Linked DNA regions of Macaca mulatta. The protein of the gene in region 2 purifies or fractionates together with the protein of the main gene of each other region. This does not show direct contact. Links are inferred from orthologs where the notes say so. Each region holds a gene or a part of one and is shown on either strand. Other genes may lie near its edges. The genes, in order: TRIM21 and IRF7.

Region 1 (4,597 bases), about 71 Mb from region 2:
ATAATCCCCATATGTTGTGGGAGGTAATTAAATCATGGGGGTGGGTAGGTTTTTCCCATGCTGTTCTTGTGATAGTGAATGTCTCATGAGATTTGATGGTTTTATAAAGGGCAGTTCTCCTGCACATTCTCTCTTGCCTGCTGCCATGTACAATGTGCCTTTGCTCCTTCTTTGCCTTCCATCATGATTGTGAGACTTCTACAACCATATGGAACTGTGAGTCCATTAAACCTTTTTTTTTTCCTTATAAGTTACCCAGTCTTAGGTATGTCTTTATTAGCAGTGTGAGAACAGACTAACACAGGAACAAAGTTTTAGTTTTAGTTTTTTCTTATTTATGTGAACAGGATTAAGATATAATTGGCATAAAAAATGGGTTGTAAAGATAGTATTTGAAGCCTCATGGTACTTTCAAACCAAAATCCTACAATAGATACACAAAAAACAATAAATTAGTCATATTACCAGAGGAAAAAAAATTCCTGGCCAGGCATGGTAGCTCATGGCTGTAATCCTAGCACTGTGAGAGGCCAAGGTGGGTGGATCACCTGAGGTCAGGAATTCGAGACCAGCCTGGCCAACATGGTGAAACCCTATGTCTAGTAAAAATACAAAAGTAGCCAGGCGTGGTGGCAGGCACCTGTAATCCCAGCTACTTGGGAGGCTGAGGTGGGAGAACTGCTTGAACCTGTAAAGCAGAGTTTGCAGTGAGCCAAGATCATGCCACTGCACTCCAGCCTGGACAACAGAGCAAGACTCCACCTCAAAAAAAAAAAATTACCTTCACTAAAGTGAGACAGGAAGGAAAGGAGGAAGAGAAGACTGTACAACAAGAAAACAGCAAGATGGAGTTACGTCCTTACTTATCAGTAGCATTAAACATAAATGGACTAAACTCTCTAGTCAAAAGAGTGGCTGAATGGATGATAAAAACAAGACCTAGTGATCTGTCGCCTAGAAGAAACACTTCATCTATAAAGACAGACTGAAAATACAGAGATGAAGAGAAATATTCCATGCCAATAGATACCAAAAAAGAATGAGAATAGTTACATCAGACAAAGTAGATTAAGATGAAAACTAAGAGGCAAAGGTTGCTATGTAATGATAAGGAGGTCAAGTTGTGCAAGAGGTTACAACAATTTTAAATATATATGCACCCAACACTGAAGGACTCAGATACATAGAGCAAATATTAGAGCTAAAGAAGGTAGGCCCCAATACAATAATAGCTGGAGACTTCACCCCACTTTCAGCATTGGACAAATCTTCCAGACAGAAAAAGAAATACTGGACTCGATCTGCACTATAGACCAAATGGACCTAATAGAGAACATTTAGAGAACATTTTGTGCAGTTACTACAAAATACACATTCTTTTCCTCAGCACATGGATTATTCCAGGATAGACCGTATGTTAGGTTACAAAACAGGTGCTAACACATTCAAAAAGTTGAAATAATGTTGTGATAGTTAACAAATGTCAACTTGATTGTATTGAAGGATGCAAAGTATTGTTCCTGGGTGTGTCTGTGAGGGTGTTGCTGAAGGAGATTAACATTTGAGTCAGTGGACTTGGAAAGGCAGAACCACTCTCAATGTGAGTGGGCACCATCTAATCAACTGCCAGTGTGGCTAGAATAAAGCAGACTTGCTGAGTCTTCCAGATATTATCTTTCTCCTGTGCTTCTTCCTGCCCTCAAACATCAGACTCCAAGTTCTTCAGCTTTTGGACTCTTAGACTTACACCAGTGATTTACTAGGGACCTTCAGCCACAGACTGAAGACTGTACTGTCAGTTTCCCTCCTTTTAAGGTTTGGGGACTTGGACTGGTTTCCTTGATCCTCAGCTTGCAGACAGTCTATTGTGGGACTTCACCTTGTGATCATGTGAGTTAATACTCCTTAATAGACTCCCTTTCATATAGACACCTATCCTACTAGTTCTGTCTCTCTAGAGAACCCTGACCAGTACAAATGTCAAGCATCTTCTCTGACAGCAGTGAACTAAAACTATAAGTTAATAATAAGAATTTTGGAAACTATACAACTACATGGAAATTAAACAATACACTCCTGAATGACCAGTGGTCAACGAAAAAATTAAATTGAAAAGTTTCTTGAAACAAATAGAAACAACATACCAAAATTCACAGGATATAGTGAAAGCAGCAAGAGGGAAGTTTATAGATGTAACTGCATACATCAAAAAAGATGAAAAACTTTTAAAAAAAATCTAATGATGTATCCGATTAATAGCCAGAATAAAGAGCTCAAACTCTATATGAAATAAAACCTAGTAATCTGAACCAAAAAAGGGCAAAATATTTGAATAGACATTTCTCAAAAGATGACATACAAATGGCAAACAGGCATGAAAAGGCATTAAACATTACTGATCAGAGCAATGAAAATCAAAACTATAAATCTCATCCCAGTTAAAATGTCTTATATAAAAAAGACAGGCACTAACAAATGCTGGCGAGGATGTCAAGAAAAGAGAACCCTCATTCACTGTTGATGGAAATGTAAATTAGTACAGCCATTCTGGAGAACAGTTTGGAGGTTCTTCAAAAAACTAAAAATAGAGCTACCATATGGTCCAGCAATCCACTGCTGGGTATATAGTTGATGTAATTTTGCTGTGTCTCCACCCAAATCTCATCTTGATTTGTAATCCCCACATGTTGGGGAAGAATCTAGTGGGAGGCAGTTGGATCATGAGGGCAGTTTCCCTCATGCTGTTCTCATGATAATGAGGGAGTTCTCATGAAATCTGATGATTTAAAAGCATTTGGCAATTCCCCCTGCTTGCTGTTCTTCTGCTGCTTTGTGAAGAAGGTGCCTGCTTCCCCCTTGCCTTCTGCCATAAGTTTCCTGAGACCTCCCCAGCCACGCAGAACTTTAAATCGATTAAACTTCTTTCCTTTATAAATTACTCAGTCTCAGGTATTCTTTATGGTAGTGTGAAAATGGACTAATACAATATCTAAAAGAAATGATATCAGTATATTGAAGAAATTTTTTTATTCGCATTTTTCTTGAAGCACTGTTCACAATAGCAAAGATTTAGAAGCAACCTAAGTGTCCATCAACAGATGAATAAAATAAATGTGGCACATATAAATGAATAGTGGTCCATTGTGTATAAGAATGAGATCCTGTCATTTGCAACAACATAGATGGAAATGAAAATGTTAAGTGAAGTAGCACAGGCACAGAAAAACAAATATTGTATGTTCTTAATTATCTGTGGCATTGGGAAGGTTACAGGAGGGGTAAGGTGGGGATGGTGAATGGGTAAAAAAATAGAATGAATAAAATCTATTATTTAATAGCACAACAGGGTGACGAGTTAACAATAATGTTACAGCACATTTCAAAGTAACTAAGTAATTGAATTGTTTAACACAAAGGATAAATGCTTGAGGGATTGGATACCCCACTCTCCATGATGTGAGTGTTATGTATTGCATATCTGTATCAAAACATCTTATTTACCTCATTAAAATGTACCTACTATGTACACACAAAAATTAAAAATTAAAAGAATTAACCTGGAATAGCTATATCAACTACAGTCAAAGCAAACTCCAGAGAAAGCAATATTATTATGCATAAAAGGGAATGTATGATAATGATGTCAAGTCTATGAAAAGACGAATTTTTAGTGTGTATGTACCCACAATAGATCAAGATATGTGAGGCAAAAAACTGAACTGAAAGAAATAGGTAAATCCATTATTAAAGGTTGAGATTAATGCCTTTCTCCATCAGTAATGCATCCAGCAGATAAGGGTATGGGGAAAAAATAGAAAAGCCAGTTAACACTGAACATATTTTAACCAACAGTATTCAATCGAAATGCACACAATATATTTAAACAGTAGAATATACATTCTTTAAGTAAACCAAGTAGAATATTCACCAAGTAGACCACACTTTGGGCCGTAAATCATATCTTGGACATTAACATTGATTAAGAACTTCTTTACTACTGATTCAATTTCTGAAGCTTTTCAGGGTTTCAATCTCTTGATTCACTGTGAATTTTCTAATTTGTGTGCTTAAAGACATTCATAGTAGTCTCTGGGGATCTTCTGCATTTCTTTGGGATCAGTTGTAATATTATCTTTGTTATTTCATTATGCTTATTTGGATCTCAATCTAGTTAAGGGTCTATTAGTTGTGGTTTATTTCCCCCCCAAAGAATTCTTGGGTTTATCGACCTTTTGTTTGGATTTTTTGTATCTTAATTTCATTAGGTTTTTCTCTAATGTTTTTCTTCTGCTGGCACTGGGAATTTTTTTCCTAGTCCTTTTAAGGTACAAAGTTAGATTGTTAATTTGAGCCCTTTGCAACTTCTTGATGAAGGTATTTAGGGCTATAAACTTTTCTCTTACTGCTTTGGCTGCATCTTAGAGATTTTGGTAAATTGTATCTCCATCTTTGTTAATTTCAAAGAATTTTAAGTTTCTGCCTTAATTTAGATGTTTGCTTAGAAGTTATTTAGGAGTAAGTTGTTTAGTTTCCATGCATTTGTGTAGTTGAGAGAGCTTTTTGATATTGGTTTCCATTTTTATTGACCTGTGATCCA
Region 2 (4,518 bases):
CTTTTTTGAGACTCAGTCATGCTCTGTCCCCTGGGCTGGAGTGGAGTGGCTCCATCTCAGCTCACTGCAGCCTCGACCTCCTGGGCTCAAGTGATTCTCCCGCCTCAGCCTCCCAAGTACCTGTAACTACAGGCCTGCGCCACCACGCCCGGCTGATTTTTGTATTTTTAGTAGAGACTGGGTTTCGTCACGTTTGCCAGGCTGGTCTCGAACTCCTGACCTCAAGTGATCGGCTGAGGCGGGCGGATCACGAGGTTAGGAGATCGAGACCATCCTGGCTAACACGGTGAAACCCCGTCTCTACTAAAAATACAAAAAATTAGTCGGGCGAGGTGGCGGGCGCCTGTGGTCCCAGCTACTCGGGAGGCTGAGGCAGGAGAATGGCGGGAACCCGGGAGGCGGAGCTTGCAGTGAGCCGACATCCGGCCACTGCACTCCAGCCTGGACGGCAGAGCGAGACTCCACCTCAAAAAAAAAAAAAAAGAAAGAAAGAAAAAAAAAAAGCACAACAAGAAGGGCCTGGTTTTGCCTCGGGTCCGGTTTCGCTTACGTTTGGGGGAGTCCCCGCCTTATCCCACTGTGTCCCCCACCTCCGATGACTGCCGGCGCCCCGGCCCCAGGCGTGTAGGGACTACTTCCCAGAGAAGCGGCTGGACCCTGCAGGGCCGAGCCACACAGGCAGACAGGGCCCACCGCTGCCCCCTCGCCGCCACTCCCTACTCCGCGCTGCCCCGGACGGGGTTCCGCTGGTCGCATTCGAGAGCAGGAACTGGCCGCGCGCGCCCTTCCCGGAAACGCCCGCCTGGTCACGTGACCTCCTTGGCTGCACCTGCAGCTCTTTGGGCCCCGCCCCCGGCCCGGACACCATAAAAGCGCCGGCCCTCCGCTTCTCCGCGATAAGAAACCTCCCGCCCCGGCGACTGTGGCACCCAGGTACTCGGGACCCCGGACCCACGCGGTGCAGGTCCGGGAGTGAGAGACTCACCGGGAGGGGTAGAGCCAAGGGCTGGGGGAGCCTGATGGATGAGGGTCGGGAGGTGAGGGAGGCGGAGGCGGGGGCGGGGCTCTGCGGCGATGAGAACCGGACGGAGATGGGATCGGGGAGGGTGGAAGCGCCACTGTTTTAAGTTTCGCTTTCTCGGAAGCCTGGCCCGCCCCCGACGTGGCTTTTCCCGTCTCCGCAGGGTCCGGCCTGCACCGGCCCGGCAGGCCTGGACACTGGTTCAACACCTGTGACTTCACGTGTGCGCGCCAGCCATACCTGCAGTCACACCTGTAGCCCCCTCTGCCAAGAGATCCACACCGAGGCAGCGTCGGTGGCTACAAGCCCTCAGTCCACACCTGTGACCCCCACCACCTGTGACACCTGGCCACACCTGTGGACACCTGTGACACCTGGCCACACGACCTGTGGCCGCGGCCTGGCGTCTGCAGTGACAGGAGCCCTTACCTCCCCTGTTGTAACACCTGACCGCCACCCAACTGCCCCTGCAGAGGGAGCAATGGCCTTGGCTCCTGAGAGGTAAGAGCCCGGCCCACCTTCTCCAGATGCCCGTCCCCGAGCGCCCTGCAGCCAGCCCTGACTCTCCGCGGCCGGGCACCCGCAGGGCGGCCCCACGCGTGCTGTTCGGAGAGTGGCTCCTTGGAGAGATCAGCAGCGGCTGCTATGAGGGGCTGCAGTGGCTGGACGAGGCCCGCACCTGCTTCCGCGTGCCCTGGAAGCACTTCGCGCGCAAGGACCTGAGCGAGGCTGACGCGCGCATCTTCAAGGTGGGACCCCGGCCCCGTCCCGGGTGGGAGGACCCGCCTAGGACCCCGCGGGCCCAGCCCACGTGTTCTCTCCCCCTCTTCAGGCCTGGGCCGTGGCCCGCGGCAGGTGGCCGCCTAGCAGCAGAGGTGACCCGCCGCCCCCCGAGGCTGAGGCTGCGGAGCGCGCCGGCTGGAAAACCAACTTCCGCTGCGCACTGCGCAGCACGCGCCGCTTCGTGATGCTGCGAGATAACTCGGGGGACCCGGCCGACCCGCACAAGGTGTATGCGCTGAGCCCGGAGCTGGGCTGGCGAGGTGAGCGACGCCGGCTGCCAAGCGCGTTGGCATTCGTCCTGCCTGGGGAAAGAACATTCTCTGGGCCGGGCGTGGTGGCTCACGCCTGTAATCCCAGCACTTTGGGAGGCCGAGGTGGGCGGATCACAAGGTCAGGAGATCGAGACCATGGTGAAACCCCGTCTCTACTAAAAATAGAAAAAATTAGCCGGGCGCAGGGGCGGGCGCCTGTAGTCCCAGCTACTCGGGAGGCTGAGGCAGGAGAATGGCGTGAACCCGGGAGGCGGAGCTTGCAGTGAGCCGAGATTGCGCCACTGCACTCCAGCCTGGGCGACAGAGCAAGACTCCGTCTCAAAAAAAAAAAAAAAAAAAAAAAAAAAAAAAGAACATTCTCTGGATCAGAATTGGGTTTTTAGCAGCCGTTCTGGGAGAGGCTGCCAGCAGGCCCAGGACAGTTGGAGCCGCATCCCCACCTCCTTAGGCCGCAGCACAAGGAAGCTGGTGCGGGTTACGCCAGGCTCTTGTTGCGTCTCTCACCCTGGTCTCGGAACCTAACACCTGCCCCATTCTCCCTCAGAAGGCCCAGGCACGGACCAGACTGAGGCAGAGGCCCCCGCGGCTGTCCGGCCACCGCAGGTAGTCTTCTCTCTGCCTGCCTCTCCTCCTGCCAGGCCGCGGAGCTGCTTATGCTGACCCTGACTTTTCCTTACAGGGCAGGCCCCCAGGGCCATTCCTGGCACACAGAGATGCTGGACTCCAAGCCCCAGGCCCCTTCCCTGCCCCAGCTGGTGACAAGGGGGACCTCCTGCTCCAGGCAGTGCAGCAGAGCTGCCTGGCGGACCATCTGCTGACAGCGTCATGGGGGGCAGACCCAGTCCCAGCCCAGGCTCCTGGAGAGGGACAAGAGGGTCTTCCCCTGACTGGGGCCTGTGCTGGAGGTGTGGGCAGTGCCGTGGAGGGGTGTGTGTGTGGGGGGAAAGCATGGGAGGGGCCAGTGCACCTGGATGGACACTTAAGAAGGGGGCTGGGGATTGGGGAGCTGGAGAAGTAGGAAGGGACCACATTCCCACTGACCTCCCCTCCTCAGGTCCAGGGCTCCCTGCTGGGGAGCTGTGCACATGGGCAGTAGAAGCAACCCCTAGCCCCGGGCCCCAGCCCACGGCGCTAATGACAGGTGAGAGGGGTAGGGGTTGGGGGGCCTGGGGCACAGGGAGGGGCTGGGGATGAGGTACCAGCACAGGATTCCCTTCCCGATGCAGGCGAGGCCACGGCCCCAGAGCCCCCGCACCAGGCAGAGCCATACCTGGCACCCTCCCCAAGTGCCTGCACTGTGGTGCAAGGTGAGTGGGTCCTGGGAAGGGGACAGCCTGTCCCTGCCCACCTCTGCCGCTCACAGCTTGGTCTCCACACAGAGCCCAGCCCAGGGGCGCTGGACGTGACCATCATGTACAAGGGCCGCACAGTGCTGCAGAAGGTGGTGGGGCACCCGAGCTGCATGTTCCTGTACGGCCCCCCAGACCCAGCTGTCCGGGCCACAGACCCCCAGCAGGTAGCATTCCCCAGCCCTGCTGAGCTCCCCGACCAGAAGCAGCTGCGCTACACGGAGGAACTGCTGAGGCACGTGGCCCCTGGGCTGCAGCTGGAGCTTCGGGGGCCACAGCTGTGGGCCCGGCGCATGGGCAAGTGCAAGGTGTACTGGGAGGTGGGTGGCCCCCCGGGCTCCGCCAGCCCCTCCACCCCAGCCTGCCTGCTGCCTCGGAACTGCGACACCCCCATCTTTGACTTCAGAGTCTTCTTCCAAGGTCAGTGAGGCTCCTGCCTGGGGGGCTGTCTCCAGGGGCCCCTGGGAGCATGTGTCTGCCAGATACTCAGCAGAGCCCCCTTCTCCAGAGCTGGTGGAATTCCGGGCACGGCAGCGCCGCGGCTCCCCCTGCTATACCATCTACCTGGGCTTCGGGCAGGACCTGTCAGCCAGGAGGCCCAAGGAGAAGAGCCTGGTCCTGGTGAAGGTGAGACCAGAGCCTCAGGGCCTGGGGAGGGGGAGGGGAGGCCACACGCTGGGTCACTGACACACGCCCGATGCCCTCCTGGCAGCTGGAGCCCTGGCTGTGCCGAGTGCACCTGGAGGGCACGCAACGTGAGGGTGTGTCTTCCCTGGATAGCAGCAGCCTCAGCCTCTGTCTGTCCAGCACCAACAGCCTCTATGATGACATTGAGTGCTTGCTCATGGAGCTGGAGCAGCCCGTCTAGAGCCCAGTCTAATAAAGAGAACTCCAGCACACACACTGATGTCTTGGCTGGCGGGGAAATGGGTGCAGGCTGAACACTGGTGAGGCCCAGGGAGGGAGGGGACCTCCCTGCACACCAACTCACTTCTGTCTTCACCACACACATTACATCCAAGCCTTGTTCAAAGAACAAGGCCCTTGAGAGGTAGGTGGCCACCAAAGCCACTCCCACCAGCTGTGCTGAGGG

What was found.
Region 1: the proteins of IRF7 (region 2) and TRIM21 purify together in Homo sapiens (affinity purification with mass spectrometry; 3 studies listed by BioGRID, with this or other methods). This does not show direct contact. The link is inferred for Macaca mulatta from reciprocal best matches to the Homo sapiens genes IRF7 and TRIM21.

What each region holds. Positions count from the first base shown.
Region 1 is NC_133419.1:71,426,292-71,430,888, reverse strand, and holds the start of TRIM21 (E3 ubiquitin-protein ligase TRIM21), read right to left. Parts: upstream 2,814-4,597; 5' UTR 2,804-2,813; intron 1-2,803. UniProt on the Homo sapiens protein: E3 ubiquitin-protein ligase whose activity is dependent on E2 enzymes, UBE2D1, UBE2D2, UBE2E1 and UBE2E2.
Region 2 is NC_133419.1:506,484-511,001, reverse strand, and holds IRF7 (interferon regulatory factor 7), read left to right. Parts: upstream 1-1,548; coding exon 1,549-1,770; intron 1,771-1,853; coding exon 1,854-2,064; intron 2,065-2,620; coding exon 2,621-2,679; intron 2,680-2,755; coding exon 2,756-2,981; intron 2,982-3,130; coding exon 3,131-3,217; intron 3,218-3,302; coding exon 3,303-3,383; intron 3,384-3,455; coding exon 3,456-3,845; intron 3,846-3,933; coding exon 3,934-4,052; intron 4,053-4,137; coding exon 4,138-4,293; 3' UTR 4,294-4,324; downstream 4,325-4,518.